Macaca mulatta: one gene and its partners. The protein of the gene in region 3 interacts with the protein of the main gene of each other region in a biochemical or structural test. Links are inferred from orthologs where the notes say so. Each region holds a gene or a part of one and is shown on either strand. Other genes may lie near its edges.

Region 1 (5,740 bases), on a different chromosome or scaffold from region 3:
AAAAAATTACAAAAAATTAGCTGGGCATGGTGGTGTGTACCTGTAATCCCACCTACTTGGGAGGCTGAGAGAGGAGAATCACTTGAACCTGGGAGGCGGAGGTTGCAGTGAGCCAAGATCGCGCCATTGCACTCCAGCCTGGGTGACAGAGTGAGACTCCGTCTCAAAAAAAAAAAAAAAAAAGAAGACAGGTTATTATGTGCTATTTAGTATTACCTAGAAAGGATTACTGGCATTGACCTTTCCCTCCTGTGAAGATACTTCTAACATATATGAAACCCAAGGGACCAGATACTGGTTCCACTGTGATGAGTGTCAGAATTCTTGTAACCTCTTTTTTCCTCATTAGTATCTGTCATGGTAGGTTGTTGGCTCTGACGATGTCATAATGCTTTGTTTGTAGGGTCATCCGACACTACTTTTTCCATAGGAACAATCAGCTTTTAGGCAAAGTGAACCTTGGACAGTAAAACCTGATCTTCTGAGGTCACAGAAATAAAGACATCTCAAAGAAAATATACTGGAAACTTCTTTAAGTTTTCCTCCTTCATTGGGATACGTGGGTTTCCTCACTGTTGTAATGTTGATGACACAACAGGGCTAACACCGGATATGCTTCTGGTTGATTCCGGTTTACCAAGAGCATCCAAACATCCCTCAAGGACACAGTCATTTTGCACAACAAAGGGAAACTCCGCTCATTTCTGGCATTAGGGTGGACATCTGAGAGAGGGGAGGGTATACCACCGTAACTTCTCTAGTGATGAGTAGTGTTTAATATTATGCCATAGACTAACTGGCGTATTTTAAAGATCTTTTTCCTTTTTGAACACATTTCAGATTAGAGAAGTTCCAGAGAACGTAATCTATTTTAAGAGTGTGAAACAGTGATATTCTGCATTGCTTTTATATCTTAAAGAAATTTCTAAAAAGAAAGCCGAGTCAATAAAATGACAGATTTTAAGCCTTCATTCTGGTAACATAAAAGCCTTCTACTCATTGTGTCTGCCACCTTAATTTTTAAAGATAGAGCATGAGGTGCAAGCTTTTGGCTTCCATTTTCCTCTTATAAACCAATGACATCTTCAGTTCCAGAATAGCTTTTTTAAAACGTGACTTCTGATAAATGTTGGCAGAACTGGTGCATTCCTAAAATAAATTATGTATGCTCAGCTTTCCCTACCCAAGTTCATCCCTAACTGACCACAAAACTGCCCACCACGAAATAGGCTTAAGAGAAGTCTGGACATAATGGTCTAAGTGTATATAACACAACACTGGTATATTTTTAAAAATTCAGTATATTTTAAAAAATTCATGCCTAGGGTCAATTCTGATAATCAAATTTAGACTGCCGCAACAACCGTAACTACTGTTGATACATGCGAAGTTTAAAACTGAAGGGCTGGGGTAAGGGGCAGAAACTGTACACAACAAACTTCCAAATTTTCTCTCCCCTTTCAGGCAAGTTTCAGCTCCACAAATCTAAATACCCTCGCCTTTAAAATATCAGTGTCGTTTTGCTCTTTAATCCTCATCCTGTTGTACAAGGAAACCTATGTCTCTCTTCCCCAGATTAAGAATACAAGAAGCTTTCCAGGTCTACAAGGACCAGAAAGCAGCTGCGCGGGAAGTTTCATGGGGCCCCAAGGCTCTCAGAGTGGGCTTGACGGTATGGAAAACACATCCCAAGAGAAAAATCTGTGAACCGCACAGCTGTGTTTGGAAAACCAAAACGAAATAGAAAAAAATCTGAGCTGATCCGGACGGCATCAGGATTACGCGGTACACAAGAAGAAAACAACCGTAGCCGGGTCAAAACTGGAGCCGTGTCTCCTCAGTAACCAGAGTAAACGGAAGACCGACGCGGGAGCGGCGAACCGGACTGAGACCGAAGGTACTCGGAGCGCCATTTACCACGTCCTCGCCCCGCCCCCTAGCCCCTCCTCCCGTCCGCCCTGCGCGCCAGCCAATCCCCTCGCGCCATCACCTTCCCATCGTAGGCCCCGCCTCCGCGCCCGGGATGTTGAGCCCCCGCGGCGTGACGCGAGCACGGCAGCTCCTCCCCCTGCGTCTCTGGCCTCGCCGGTCTTGGGGGGATGGTTCCATCATGGCGTCAATGCAGGTGAGAGGAGTTTGCTGCATCTGGGCGGGCCAGGGAGCCGCCGAGAGAGTGCCAGCGTTCGGGCGGGGGTGGCGTCCGCGATTCGGGGACACCCGGGCGGGTTCGGGATCGGCCCGGGTGGCTTGTTTTCCTTCAGCTCAGGGCGTCGGGGGAGGGGTAAGAGGCGGCGAGAGGCGTTGGGGGGGTGCGGTATCCGTCGGTCGAAGCGGACACCAGCCGGCCGGGAAGTTGGGTGATAAAGGAGGCTTGGGGGAGAAAGGGCGAAGTCTGGTGTTGGCAGCCTCAGAATCGGCTCCCCGCGCACACACACACACACACACGGCCACTGCCAGTCTGCTGCCCGCCAGTCCCAGGGTTGCCTTTACCCCCGCTGTCCCTGGCCCGACGGAAACAGCTGCGCCCGCGGTTGTTGCCGGGGCAGGGGCGGCGAGGGGCTGAGTGTGGGGGAGCCGAGAAGGCGTCTCCGGAGAAGGCGACTGGCTGCGGACGGCGCTTAGCGGCCTCTGCTCCGGCCTCCCACGCCGGGCCCCCCAGACTGCTTGGCCCCGTCTCTCTCTTCTTCCCTTTGACTCTTAATCCTGTGCCCGTGGGTATCCGCTCTTTCCATCAGCCTCGGCATTCTCGCGGACATTACTTCAGCAGTCCAGTGTCTCCTCCTCTCGAAGCTGCCCCGAGTCCACTGCCTGATGGGCGATCTCCCGAGAGCCAAGTCCTCAGCCCCCTGAAACCTTTCGGGATAGCTCGCCCTTTATTTTGTTTCCCCCTACAAGGCCCCACCCTTGCGGTCGCGATAAGGCTATACATCTCTTTGCCCTTATTCGCAGACCTTTAGTGGAACCTTAGTTTGGTAGGAGGCGTTTGTTAACCTGTGCCACATCCACCCGACTTAGCAAGGCGTGGTTTTCTGGCTTTCCAACTTAATTTACTCCTTTTTCCCGAATTCAGGGAGTTGCGGGTTTTTTGTGTTTTTGTTTTCAGGCAAAGATGGCAACCACAATTGTAGTTTTGTAGAGATTGGCTGCGTTATCTATAGCCTGCATTTAATTCATAGGTGAAGACTAGCGGTATCAAAGACATTGGAAGAGAAAGTAGAACACTCAATAGGAGTGTCAGCTGAATACTCTTTAGCGTTTTAATAATATCCCCTTGGGTAAAGAGACCACGTTTTCTTAGAAGTGTTTTTTGCTTTTGTTTCTGAAAGAAGCAAGTCTCTGTTCCTCCTCCATTTTTTTTTCTTTTCTCTGCTAAAAGTGTTTTTCTTCCCTTTTCTGCAACTTCTTCCTCTTTTGTACAAATATATCTTTGCTTCACATTTACTCCTGTGCTTTTATGTTATTCCCCTTTCAACCTGTTTTCCTTACAATATTCTCTTTACTTTTGCTTCTCCCTCTGGACTTGCCTGCAGAACAGAAAAGTTTTATGTAACATTTCTAGTTGAAGAGATGTCACGAATGGTGCAGGGAAAAAAACAGGAACAATTTCAGGAAACATTATACTTTACACTAGTCCCCCAGAGACGTTAGAGAAGTTTCGTCATTTGAGGCCAAGAAAAGGAACTGTGGAATGCTAGTTGAACAGTAGATGCAATAGGCTACATGACCACTTAAAGATTTTTATCTGTGTTAAGATTAAAACATTTTTTATGACAAGTTTAAGATTATCTGTATTAAGATTAAAACATTATTTGAGAGTAAAAATTAAGATTAAAATCCACAACACTCGTGATAATATTTGACAAGAGAACGTAGTGTGCCATCTGGTTAGATTTAGTATCTGGAAAAGGCAGATTTGTTTGTAAGAGAAAGGTTGGTAATGTTGAACTTTACATGGTGTCTTTTTTTTTTTTTTTTTTTTTTTTTTTTTGAGACGGAGTTTAGCTCTTGTTGTCCAGGCTGGAGTGCAGTGGGGGCGATCTCGGCTCACCGCAGCCTCCGCCTCCCGGGTTCAAGTGATTCTCCTGCCTCAGCCTCCCGAGTGGCTGGGATTACAGGCATTGGCCATCACGCCCAGCTAATTTTGTATTTTTAGTAGAGACAGGAGTTTCTCCATGTTGGTCAAGCTGGACTTGAACCCCCGACCTCAGGTGATCCGCCCACTTCAGCCTCCCAAAGTGCTGGGATTACAGGTGTGAGCCACCGTGCCCGGCCTACATGATGTCTTAAGCAATGGAAACAAATACTTGATTGATAGTGCAATAGTGCATTTTTCTGTGCCCTAAGTATTACCTCAGACTGTCTTACCACTCTTTGAAGTTTTTCCTTCACCTTATTCCATCTAAATCTTATCACTCTCTATTCTTCTGTGTTTTCTGGTTAGAGGAATGGAAAATGGATGCTTAACTCTTTTTATTAAAGTAAAAAGTCTTTTCCTTTTGTTTGTATTTTAAAATATCTAGTGCAGATTTTCTGGTAGTATCTTTAAGAATATTTAAATATGTATAAGTCAGGCTTTTTGAAAGACAGCCCTACTTTCTGTGTGGTTATTCTGTATCTTTGTTGTACAGAATTTATATCCTATCTTAATGGCAACATCTGGCTCTTTTAAGACAACTAGATTATACATAAATCTTCAATCAAATTATCAAATTTGTTTAATCACTGAGCCAGTTACCTTTTGGGGGCCCTCTGTGTGTCAGACACTTATCTAGGTGCCGCGGTTATAGCAATGAACAAAAGCGAACAAGATTTTTGCCCTCATGGATTTAATAATAAATAGTCTGGTAAGAAGAGACAGATAATAACAGCATATTTAAGTTAATTGTTTTTTGTTTTTTGTGTTGAGATGGAGTCTCACTGTGTCGCCCATTCTGGAGTGTAGTGGTGCAATCACGGCTCGCTGCAACCTCTGCTCCCAGGGTTCTAGCAATTCTCCTACTTAGCCTCCTGAGTAGCTGGGATTACGGGTGCTGGCCACCACGACCAGGTAATTTTTTTGTGTTTTTCGTGGAGACTGGGTTTCGCTATGCTGGCCAGGCTGGTCTTGAACTCCTGACCTCAAGTGATCCTCTCGCTTCGGCCTCCCAAAGTGCTAGGATTACAGGTGGGAGCCACTGCACCTGGCCAAGTGTGTTACTATATTAGAAGGTGATAGTGCAGTGGAGAAAAAACATGGAAGGCTAGGAAATTGATCATTTGGGGATTTCGATTAGGAAAAAATAAACTGTAACATGGAATGACCATGTCCTTACTCAAAAAGCTTTTAGTAGATTTCTTTATCTTACCCACACCAGGTGTTGCTGCTGCTGAAGAAGTTACTTAAGCTGTAAGAGGAACTGTATTTTTTTTTATGCCATGTTATACACATGTAACATGGGATTTCATTACCTGATAAAAATTAAATAGTCTTTAGGATCAATGCAGTAAAACAAGTAAGACTTTGAATTTCTTTTGGAGAGTATGTATTTAAAGTTGAGCTAGTAACTGCTTTAATGTATTCTGTCAGTGCGTCTCAACCATCTTTTAGGTTCTGTCCACATAGAAAGTAAGTTTCGAATCGTACACTAAAGTAGATGATGAGATTGGGAGGCTAGAAGCACCTGGCAGCAGCTCCTCATGAAACTCCTGGGATGGGAGATCAATATCCTGGCACACCTGTAAATGCTGGAGATGCTCTGCT
Region 2 (5,455 bases), on a different chromosome or scaffold from region 3:
CGGCCTCCCAAAGTGCTGGGATTACAGGCTTGAGCCACCGCGCCCGGCCTTTTTTGTTTTTTTCTTTTAGAGGGGGTCTCACTCTGTCGCTCAGGCTGGAGTACAGTGGTGCAATCTTGGCTCACTGCAACCTCCGCCTCCTGGGTTCAAGCAATTCTTCTGCCTCTGCCTCCCGAGTAGCTCAGACTATAGACATGCGCCACCACGCCTGGCTAACTTTTTTTTGTATTTTTGGTAGAGATGGGGTTTCACCATATTAGCCATGCTGGTCTCGAACTCCTAACCTCGTGATCTGCCCGCCATGGCCTCCCAAAGTCCTGGGATTACAAGCATGAACTGCCCTGCCGGGCGCCCAGCACTTTTTTTTTTTTGAGAGGACATTTCCGTCTCCACGTTGGTCAGGCTGGTCTCGAACTCCCGACCTCAGGTGATCTGCCTGCCTCGGCCTCCCAAAGTGCTAGGATAACAGGCGTGAGCCACCGCGCCTGGCCGGTTCACACCCCTTATTTGTATTTACTGTTTTTTTGAGACAGGGTCTCACTTTGCCGTCCAGTCTCGAGAGAAGTGGCACCATCTCGACTCACTGCAACTTCGACCTCCTGGGCTCAAGGGATCCTTCTACCTCAGCCTCCCGAGTACCTGGGACCACAGACGCGCGCCACCTCCCGGCTAATTTTTGTAGAGACAGGATTTCGCCATGTTGCGGAGGCTGGTCTCTAACTCCTGGGCTAAAGCTATCCTCCCGCCTCAGCCTTCCAAAGTGCTGGGACGACAGGCTTGAACCACTGCACCTGGCCTGGTTCACACCCTTTAATTGCACTTACCACATACTGCTAGGCATTGAGGTTATTTCTGAAACATCTCTACTCTTCCACTAGATTCTATGAGGGCAGGAACTAGGTCTTATTTTTCTCTGAGGACAAGAACTGTTAGACAAGTGTATGGAGACTCATCTAGACCTGACTTCCTCTTTCCTCTGGGTTTATTTCTCCCTCCAGGAAGAGGGTTGTGTGTTTGTGTGAGCGGGGCGACTGGAAAACACAGTGTTCAGGACGTTGTATCTTGTTCCAGGAACTAAGTACATGCCTGGGTAACTAATGTGGAATACCTCTCCTTCCCCTGTTGCTATCGCCCCTCTGTGGCTGCTTGGCAAGTAGCTCAGTATGAAGAGCTGACGGAATTCTCAGGTGGGCCAGGTGGCTCTGGCGTCCAGATTGTTTAAGGCGACTGTTAATAACTACAGCACACCGTTCAGTCTTAGTCCCAAGGCGCTGATGCACGTGGTACTTCCCGAAATCCCTGTTAGGGCCGCTGGAGCAGGAGCCCGGATCCCACGTTTGGGCAGCTGACTCGCCTAAGGCCTCCAGCTGAAAGCGGAATGGCAGGGGTGAGAATGAACAGACCTAACTACGGGGCTTCTCGCACCTGGCCTGCATTTATTTAGGACCAGGATAACCTCGAAGGCCGGGCTAGGGTGCCCCATGGGTCGTGGGCTTGCTGTCTGACTCCCTGAGATCGGCGGGCTGAACAGAGCTTCATCCTGTAGCGCCATCCTGAGCAGAGGAAGGGGCGCCCGACGACCGCGTAGCAGGCGGCAGGGCGGGACGAAGTAGCAGCTGCTGCTCCCCACCCACCCCTCTCGCATCTGCCTTTTCGCTCCACTGTTTGCCGGTGAGCGAAGTGGCGCGAGACTGGAGGGGATAAAAGACAGCGGCTGCAGGAGCCGAAGGCCGCGGCACGAGGTGGGGCAGGGGCGGGCACGCGAGCGTGCGTGCGTGCGTGCGTGGGCGCGGTCTATAGCACGCCGCGCGCGGGGCGGATGTCCGGGCCGGCTGGGCCGGGGCCGCGGACGAGATGGCGGAAGGTGGAGGCTTCGGTGAGCGACCGGATGCGGAGACTCAGAAGTCGGAGCTTGGAGCCTTAATGAGGACCACACTCCAACGCGGCGCGCAGTGGTGAGCATCCGGCTCTCTCTTCCTCTGTGCAGAACCAGGGGCCGAGTATCTGGCCCTTAGGCCAGCCCCCTTTTTCTCGGCTACAGTAGGGGCTGGGCGGGGATGGTATGTAGTGACCCTGGAAGAGTAGCCTGACACCTGCCCCTCGGGAGAACTCCAGGATCAGCTCTGGGAAAGCGCAGGCGGGGCCTGAGGGTCGCCTCGGCTCATTTGGAGCCCCAGTGGGTGGGCCCGGCGGGGGCTAGGGGGATGGATGTGGAGAAGGGGAATGTTGGCGGGGACCCTGAGGGTGGGGAGAGCCCTTTACCATGAGGACTCGCCGTGTGACCTTGGGCGAAGGTGTCACAGACCTGGATTCCTCACTGTTAAAACCAGGATAGCAATATTTGGCTCTCCGCCCTCAGTGGGTTGAGGCGAAAATCAGAAGTACTTTGTAACTTGTAAACTGCCAACAGATGTCAAGGTCAGAAGCTGAACAAATGTCTGAGAGCCCCAGATTATTTTGGTAGCAAGTGTCAAAAATATTTGTGACAGCAGTATCTCGGAGTGGGAGAGGGGGATAGCCTAGGTCCTGGAGCTAGATAGAAGATGAGGAGTCCAGAATTTAGAAGACCCAGGCTGAGTTATTGGACATCTTAACAGATTGTTTGGTGGAGGGGACAATACTTTGTACTACTGGAGAGATTCCTGGGTGGTATTATTGTGTAGTACAAAAACTAAGGCTAGACTTTGCATTTAGTATGATTGAGTGTTACCCATCTTGTTTTTTTGTTTGTTTGATTTTTTGAGACAGAGTTTCACTGTTATTGCCCAAGCTGGAGTGCAGTGGCGCCATCTCGGCTCACGGCAACTTCCGCCTCCCGGGTTCAAGCGATTCTCCTGCCTCAGCCTCCCGAGTAGCTGGGATTACAGGCTCACACCACCATGCCCAGCTAATTTTTTGTATTTTTAGTACAGACTGGGTTTCACCATGCTGAGCAGGCTGGTCTCGAACTCCTGACCTTGTGATCCAGCCGCCTCTGCCTCCCATTACAGGTGGGAGCCACCGTGCCCGGCCCGAGTGTTACCCATCTTTAAGAAACCATTGTGGGCCGGGCGCGGTGGCTCAAGCCTGTAATCCCAGCACTTTGGGAGGCCGAGACGGGCGGATCACGAGGTCAGGAGATCGAGACCATCCTGGCTAACATGGTGAAACCCCGTCTCTACTAAAAAAATACAAAAAACTAGCCGGGCGAGGTGGCGGGCGCCTGTAGTCCCAGCTACACAGGAGGCTGAGGCAGGAGAATGGCGTAAACCCGGGAGGCGGAGCTTGCAGTGAGCTGAGATCCCGCCACTGCGCTCCAGCCCCGGCGACAGAGCGAGACTCCGTCTCAAAAAAAAAAAAAAAAAAAAAGAAACCATTGTGGTGATGACCTACAGAGGAATTGAGCTGGAGGATAGAAAAATTGGGGTTATGAGGAGTACAGATAACAGCTTATGTATTCACCTTGAGCTAGCCAGTTTGTGAAAGTCAGAGTAAACAGGTACTTTTTTTGTGGGTTTTTTTTTTTTTTTTTTTTTTTTTTTTGAGGAATTTCGCTCTTGTTGCCCAGGCTGGCGTGCAATGGCGTGATCTCGGCTCACGGCAACCTGTGCCTCCAGGGTTCAAGTGATTCTCCTGCCTCAGCCTCCCCAGTAGCTAGGATTACAGGCATGCGCCACTATGCCCGGCTAATTTTTTTTTGTATTTTTAGTAGAGACAGGGTTTCTCCATTTTGGTCAGGCTTGTCTCAAACTCCCGACCTCAAGTGATTCACCCGCCTTGGCCTCCCAAAGTGCTGGGATTATAGGCTAGAGCTACCACGCCTGGCCTAGCAGAGGTACTTCTCAAGTTAACCTGTATAGGGCTCATAAAGAATACTCAGCAGAAGCAGAGGAAGTTTAAGACTAAAATCATACAGTAAAATTGTATGGAAGGTATTGCTCAAGGGATTTGGAAGAAAAATAGCATTTTCGAGACGGATGTGTTTATGGATCCTTGTGACCTCTGGGAAGTTGCCTGAACTCCTCTCACATTTGTTGGTTATACAGTTTTAAGGATGCACCAATATAATTGTTGATGCTTTGTTGCTCCACAGAGATTCTGTTTTAATTGTAAAACCCCAGAGTGATACTTTTTTTTTTTTTTTTTTTTGAGACGGAGTCTCGCTGTGTTGCCAGGCTGGAGGAGTACAGTGGCATGATCTCAGCTCACTGCAATCTCTGCCTTCCGGGTTCAAGCGATTCTCCTGCTTCAGCCTCCCTAGTAACTGAGATTATAGGCAGGCACCACCACGCCCGGCTAATTTTTGTGTTTTTATTTATTTATTTATTTATTTTTTTTTTTTTTTGAGACGGAGTCTTGCTCTGTAGCCCAGGCTGGAGTGCAGTGGCCGGATCTCAGCTCACTGCAAGCTCCGCCTCCCGGGTTCACGCCATTCTCCTGCCTCAGCCTCCCGAGTAGCTGGGACTACAGGCGCCCGCCACCTCGCCCGGCTAGCTTTTTGTATTTTTTAGTAGAGACGGGGTTTCACCGTGTTAGCCAGGATGGTCTCGATCTCCTGACCTTGTGATCCGCCCGTCTCAGCCTCCCAAAGTGCTGGGATTACAGGCTTGAGCCACCGCGCCCGGCTAATTTTTGTGTTTTTAGTAGAGACGGGGTTTCACCATGTTGGCCAGGATGGTCTTGATCTCCTGACCTCGTGATCCACCTGCCTCAGCCTCCCAAAGTGTTGGGATTACAGACATGAGCCACCTCTCCCAGCCAGCATAGTGATACTTTAAAAATATAAATAGGTCTGGCACAATGTCTCATGTCTGTAATCCCAGCACTTTGGGAGGCTGAAGCAGGAAGATCACTTGAGGCCAGGAGTTCAAGATCAGCCTGGGCAACATAGCAAGACCTAGCCTCTACAAAATAAAAATAAAAAAATAAATTAGCCAGGCATGGTGGTATGTACCTATAGTCATAGCTACTCAGAGGCTGAGGCAGGAGGATCACTTGAGCCCAGGAGTTTGAGGCTACAGAGAGCTATGATTGTGCCACTGCACTCTAGCCTGGGTGACCCTCTCTCTAAGGAAATAAATAGATAAATAAAATACCACATTTGCTTACATTTAAGTAAAAAAGTGGTAAGTTGAATATGAAGCACAACTTAATGCTTTTTGACAAGATGAACATACCTAAGTGCTATTATATGTACATGTGTATGTGTATATTTATATATGTACACGCATGTTATATACTTTTTTTTTTGAGACAGGTTTTTATTCCTGTCAGCCAGGCTAGAATGCAATGGCGTGATCTCAGCTCATTGCAACTTCTGTCCCCCCGGGTTCAAGTGATTCTTGTGCCTCAGCCTCCCGAGCAGCTGGGACTATAGGCATGTGCCACCACACTCAGCTAATTTTTGTATTTTTAGTAGATGGGGTTTGTTGCCCAGGCTGGTCTTGAACTCCTGAGCTCAAGTGACCATCCGCCT
Region 3 (5,651 bases):
ATATGGTTTGGATTTGCCCAAATCTCATGTCAAATTGGAGGAGGGGCTGCTGGGAGGTGATTGCATCATGGGGTCGGATTTCCCCCTCGATGTTCTTGTGATAGTGAGTTCTCACGAGATTTGATGGCTTAAAAGTGTGTGGCACTTTTGCCTTCACACTCTCTCCTGCCATGTGAAGAAGTGCTTGTTTTCCCTTTGCCTTCTACCATGATTGTAACTTTCTTATGGCCTCCCAGTCATGCTTCCTGTTAAGTCTGTTGGACTGTGAGTCAAACCTCTTCTTAAATTACCCAGTCTCAGATAGCACCTTATAGCAATGTAAGGACAGACTGATACAATGGTCATACCAATTTGCATTTCATCAACAGCATACAAGGGTTTTCTTTTCTCCTTTACTTGGCCTACAGAAAGACTTAGACAACCACAAAATAATAGTGGGAGATTTCAACACCCCACCAATAGCATTAGACAGATCATTGAGACAGAAACTAACAAACTCTGGACTTAAACTCAACACTCAGAAAACTGGACCTAATAGACATCTACAGAACACCCCATAACCATGGAATATGTTCTTCTCATCTGCACATGGACCATATTCTGAGATTAACCACATACTTGGTCATGAAGCAAGTCTCAAGTTCAAAAAAAATGAAATCATACCAAGCACACCCTTGGATCACAGGTCAATAAAAATGGAAACCAATATCAAAAAGCTCTCTCAACTACACAAATGCATGGAAACTAAACAACTTACTCCTAAATAACTTCTAAGCAAACATCTAAATTAAGGCAGAAACTTAAAATTCTTTGAAATTAACAAAGATGGAGATACAATTTACCAAAATCTCTAAGATGCAGCCAAAGCAGTAAGAGAAAAGTTTATAGCCCTAAATACCTTCATCAAGAAGTTGCAAAGGGCTCAAATTAACAATCTAACTTTGTACCTTAAAAGGACTAGGAAAAAAATTCCCAGTGCCAGCAGAAGAAAAACATTAGAGAAAAACCTAATGAAATTAAGATACAAAAAATCCAAACAAAAGGTCGATAAACCCAAGAATTCTTTGGGGGGGAAATAAACCACAACTAATAGACCCTTAACTAGATTGAGATCCAAATAAGCATAATGAAATAACAAAGATAATATTACAACTGATCCCAAAGAAATGCAGAAGATCCCCAGAGACTACTATGAATGTCTTTAAGCACACAAATTAGAAAATTCACAGTGAATCAAGAGATTGAAACCCTGAAAAGCTTCAGAAATTGAATCAGTAGTAAAGAAGTTCTTAATCAATGTTAATGTCCAAGATATGATTTACGGCCCAAAGTGTGGTCTACTTGGTGAATATTCTACTTGGTTTACTTAAAGAATGTATATTCTACTGTTTAAATATATTGTGTGCATTTCGATTGAATACTGTTGGTTAAAATATGTTCAGTGTTAACTGGCTTTTCTATTTTTTCCCCATACCCTTATCTGCTGGATGCATTACTGATGGAGAAAGGCATTAATCTCAACCTTTAATAATGGATTTACCTATTTCTTTCAGTTCAGTTTTTTGCCTCACATATCTTGATCTATTGTGGGTACATACACACTAAAAATTCGTCTTTTCATAGACTTGACATCATTATCATACATTCCCTTTTATGCATAATAATATTGCTTTCTCTGGAGTTTGCTTTGACTGTAGTTGATATAGCTATTCCAGGTTAATTCTTTTAATTTTTAATTTTTGTGTGTACATAGTAGGTACATTTTAATGAGGTAAATAAGATGTTTTGATACAGATATGCAATACATAACACTCACATCATGGAGAGTGGGGTATCCAATCCCTCAAGCATTTATCCTTTGTGTTAAACAATTCAATTACTTAGTTACTTTGAAATGTGCTGTAACATTATTGTTAACTCGTCACCCTGTTGTGCTATTAAATAATAGATTTTATTCATTCTATTTTTTTACCCATTCACCATCCCCACCTTACCCCTCCTGTAACCTTCCCAATGCCACAGATAATTAAGAACATACAATATTTGTTTTTCTGTGCCTGTGCTACTTCACTTAACATTTTCATTTCCATCTATGTTGTTGCAAATGACAGGATCTCATTCTTATACACAATGGACCACTATTCATTTATATGTGCCACATTTATTTTATTCATCTGTTGATGGACACTTAGGTTGCTTCTAAATCTTTGCTATTGTGAACAGTGCTTCAAGAAAAATGCGAATAAAAAAATTTCTTCAATATACTGATATCATTTCTTTTAGATATTGTATTAGTCCATTTTCACACTACCATAAAGAATACCTGAGACTGAGTAATTTATAAAGGAAAGAAGTTTAATCGATTTAAAGTTCTGCGTGGCTGGGGAGGTCTCAGGAAACTTATGGCAGAAGGCAAGGGGGAAGCAGGCACCTTCTTCACAAAGCAGCAGAAGAACAGCAAGCAGGGGGAATTGCCAAATGCTTTTAAATCATCAGATTTCATGAGAACTCCCTCATTATCATGAGAACAGCATGAGGGAAACTGCCCTCATGATCCAACTGCCTCCCACTAGATTCTTCCCCAACATGTGGGGATTACAAATCAAGATGAGATTTGGGTGGAGACACAGCAAAATTACATCAACTATATACCCAGCAGTGGATTGCTGGACCATATGGTAGCTCTATTTTTAGTTTTTTGAAGAACCTCCAAACTGTTCTCCAGAATGGCTGTACTAATTTACATTTCCATCAACAGTGAATGAGGGTTCTCTTTTCTTGACATCCTCGCCAGCATTTGTTAGTGCCTGTCTTTTTTATATAAGACATTTTAACTGGGATGAGATTTATAGTTTTGATTTTCATTGCTCTGATCAGTAATGTTTAATGCCTTTTCATGCCTGTTTGCCATTTGTATGTCATCTTTTGAGAAATGTCTATTCAAATATTTTGCCCTTTTTTGGTTCAGATTACTAGGTTTTATTTCATATAGAGTTTGAGCTCTTTATTCTGGCTATTAATCGGATACATCATTAGATTTTTTTTAAAAGTTTTTCATCTTTTTTGATGTATGCAGTTACATCTATAAACTTCCCTCTTGCTGCTTTCACTATATCCTGTGAATTTTGGTATGTTGTTTCTATTTGTTTCAAGAAACTTTTCAATTTAATTTTTTCGTTGACCACTGGTCATTCAGGAGTGTATTGTTTAATTTCCATGTAGTTGTATAGTTTCCAAAATTCTTATTATTAACTTATAGTTTTAGTTCACTGCTGTCAGAGAAGATGCTTGACATTTGTACTGGTCAGGGTTCTCTAGAGAGACAGAACTAGTAGGATAGGTGTCTATATGAAAGGGAGTCTATTAAGGAGTATTAACTCACATGATCACAAGGTGAAGTCCCACAATAGACTGTCTGCAAGCTGAGGATCAAGGAAACCAGTCCAAGTCCCCAAACCTTAAAAGGAGGGAAACTGACAGTACAGTCTTCAGTCTGTGGCTGAAGGTCCCTAGTAAATCACTGGTGTAAGTCTAAGAGTCCAAAAGCTGAAGAACTTGGAGTCTGATGTTTGAGGGCAGGAAGAAGCACAGGAGAAAGATAATATCTGGAAGACTCAGCAAGTCTGCTTTATTCTAGCCACACTGGCAGTTGATTAGATGGTGCCCACTCACATTGAGAGTGGTTCTGCCTTTCCAAGTCCACTGACTCAAATGTTAATCTCCTTCAGCAACACCCTCACAGACACACCCAGGAACAATACTTTGCATCCTTCAATACAATCAAGTTGACATTTGTTAACTATCACAACATTATTTCAACTTTTTGAATGTGTTAGCACCTGTTTTGTAACCTAACATACGGTCTATCCTGGAATAATCCATGTGCTGAGGAAAAGAATGTGTATTTTGTAGTAACTGCACAAAATGTTCTCTAAATGTTCTCTATTAGGTCCATTTGGTCTATAGTGCAGATCGAGTCCAGTATTTCTTTTTCTGTCTGGAAGATTTGTCCAATGCTGAAAGTGGGGTGAAGTCTCCAGCTATTATTGTATTGGGGCCTACCTTCTTTAGCTCTAATATTTGCTCTATGTATCTGAGTCCTTCAGTGTTGGGTGCATATATATTTAAAATTGTTGTAACCTCTTGCACAACTTGACCTCCTTATCATTACATAGCAACCTTTGCCTCTTAGTTTTCATCTTAATCTACTTTGTCTGATGTAACTATTCTCATTCTTTTTTGGTATCTATTGGCATGGAATATTTCTCTTCATCTCTGTATTTTCAGTCTGTCTTTATAGATGAAGTGTTTCTTCTAGGCGACAGATCACTAGGTCTTGTTTTTATCATCCATTCAGCCACTCTTTTGACTAGAGAGTTTAGTCCATTTATGTTTAATGCTACTGATAAGTAAGGACGTAACTCCATCTTGCTGTTTTCTTGTTGTACAGTCTTCTCTTCCTCCTTTCCTTCCTGTCTCACTTTAGTGAAGGTAATTTTTTTTTTTTGAGGTGGAGTCTTGCTCTGTTGTCCAGGCTGGAGTGCAGTGGCATGATCTTGGCTCACTGCAAACTCTGCTTTACAGGTTCAAGCAGTTCTCCCACCTCAGCCTCCCAAGTAGCTGGGATTACAGGTGCCTGCCACCACGCCTGGCTACTTTTGTATTTTTACTAGACATAGGGTTTCACCATGTTGGCCAGGCTGGTCTCGAATTCCTGACCTCAGGTGATCCACCCACCTTGGCCTCTCACAGTGCTAGGATTACAGCCATGAGCTACCATGCCTGGCCAGGAATTTTTTTTCCTCTGGTAATATGACTAATTTATTGTTTTTTGTGTATCTATTGTAGGATTTTGGTTTGAAAGTACCATGAGGCTTCAAATACTATCTTTACAACCCATTTTTTATGCCAATTATATCTTAATCCTGTTCACATAAATAAGAAAAAACTAAAACTAAAACTTTGTTCCTGTGTTAGTCTGTTCTCACACTGCTAATAAAGACATACCTAAGACTGGGTAACTTATAAGGAAAAAAAAAAGGTTTAATGGACTCACAGTTCCATATGGTTGTAGAAGTCTCACAATCATGATGGAAGGCAAAGAAGGAGCAAAGGCACATTGTACATGGCAGCAGGCAAGAGAGAATGTGCAGGAGAACTGCCCTTTATAAAACCATCAAATCTCATGAGACATTCACTATCACAAGAACAGCATGGGAAAAACCTACCCACCCCCATGATTTAATTACCTCCCACAACATATGGGGATTATGGGAGCTACAATTGAAGATGAGATTTGGGTGGAGACACAGCTAGACCATATAATCTCCTGACTTTTTAATGTTTTATTTCTATCTTATTGTACTATTTCTTAAAGATGTTATTTTTGATCATCTTTTAGTCCTTCTACTTAGCATAAGAGTAGTCTCCACATCAGTTAGTATAATTATATTCTTTGTTTTTCTATGTACTTACTATTACCAGTGAGCAGATAATTTCTTCTTGCTCATTAACATCTTTCCTTTCTGATTGAAGTATTATTCTAGCATTTCTTGTAAGACAAGTCTGGTGTTGATTAAATCCTTCAGCTTTTGTTTGGGAAATTCTTATCTCTTTTTGACATTTGAAGAATATTTTTGTCAGGTATATTC

The links. The genes of interacting proteins can lie anywhere in the genome.
Region 1: the proteins of TRIM21 (region 3) and UBE2W are reported together in a solved structure, tested with the Homo sapiens proteins (2 studies listed by BioGRID, with this or other methods). The link is inferred for Macaca mulatta from reciprocal best matches to the Homo sapiens genes TRIM21 and UBE2W.
Region 2: of the proteins of TRIM21 (region 3) and USP4, one has a biochemical effect on the other in vitro, tested with the Homo sapiens proteins (2 studies listed by BioGRID). The link is inferred for Macaca mulatta from reciprocal best matches to the Homo sapiens genes TRIM21 and USP4.

Annotation. Positions count from the first base shown.
Region 1 is NC_133413.1:84,449,558-84,455,297, reverse strand, and holds the start of UBE2W (ubiquitin-conjugating enzyme E2 W), read left to right. Parts: upstream 1-2,110; coding exon 2,111-2,125; exon of another isoform or gene 2,126-3,395; intron 3,396-5,740. UniProt on the Homo sapiens protein: Accepts ubiquitin from the E1 complex and catalyzes its covalent attachment to other proteins.
Region 2 is NC_133407.1:112,776,942-112,782,396, reverse strand, and holds the start of USP4 (ubiquitin carboxyl-terminal hydrolase 4), read left to right. Parts: upstream 1-1,825; 5' UTR 1,826-1,854; coding exon 1,855-1,955; intron 1,956-5,455.
Region 3 is NC_133419.1:71,425,617-71,431,267, forward strand, and holds the start of TRIM21 (E3 ubiquitin-protein ligase TRIM21), read left to right. Parts: upstream 1-2,459; 5' UTR 2,460-2,469; intron 2,470-5,651. UniProt on the Homo sapiens protein: E3 ubiquitin-protein ligase whose activity is dependent on E2 enzymes, UBE2D1, UBE2D2, UBE2E1 and UBE2E2.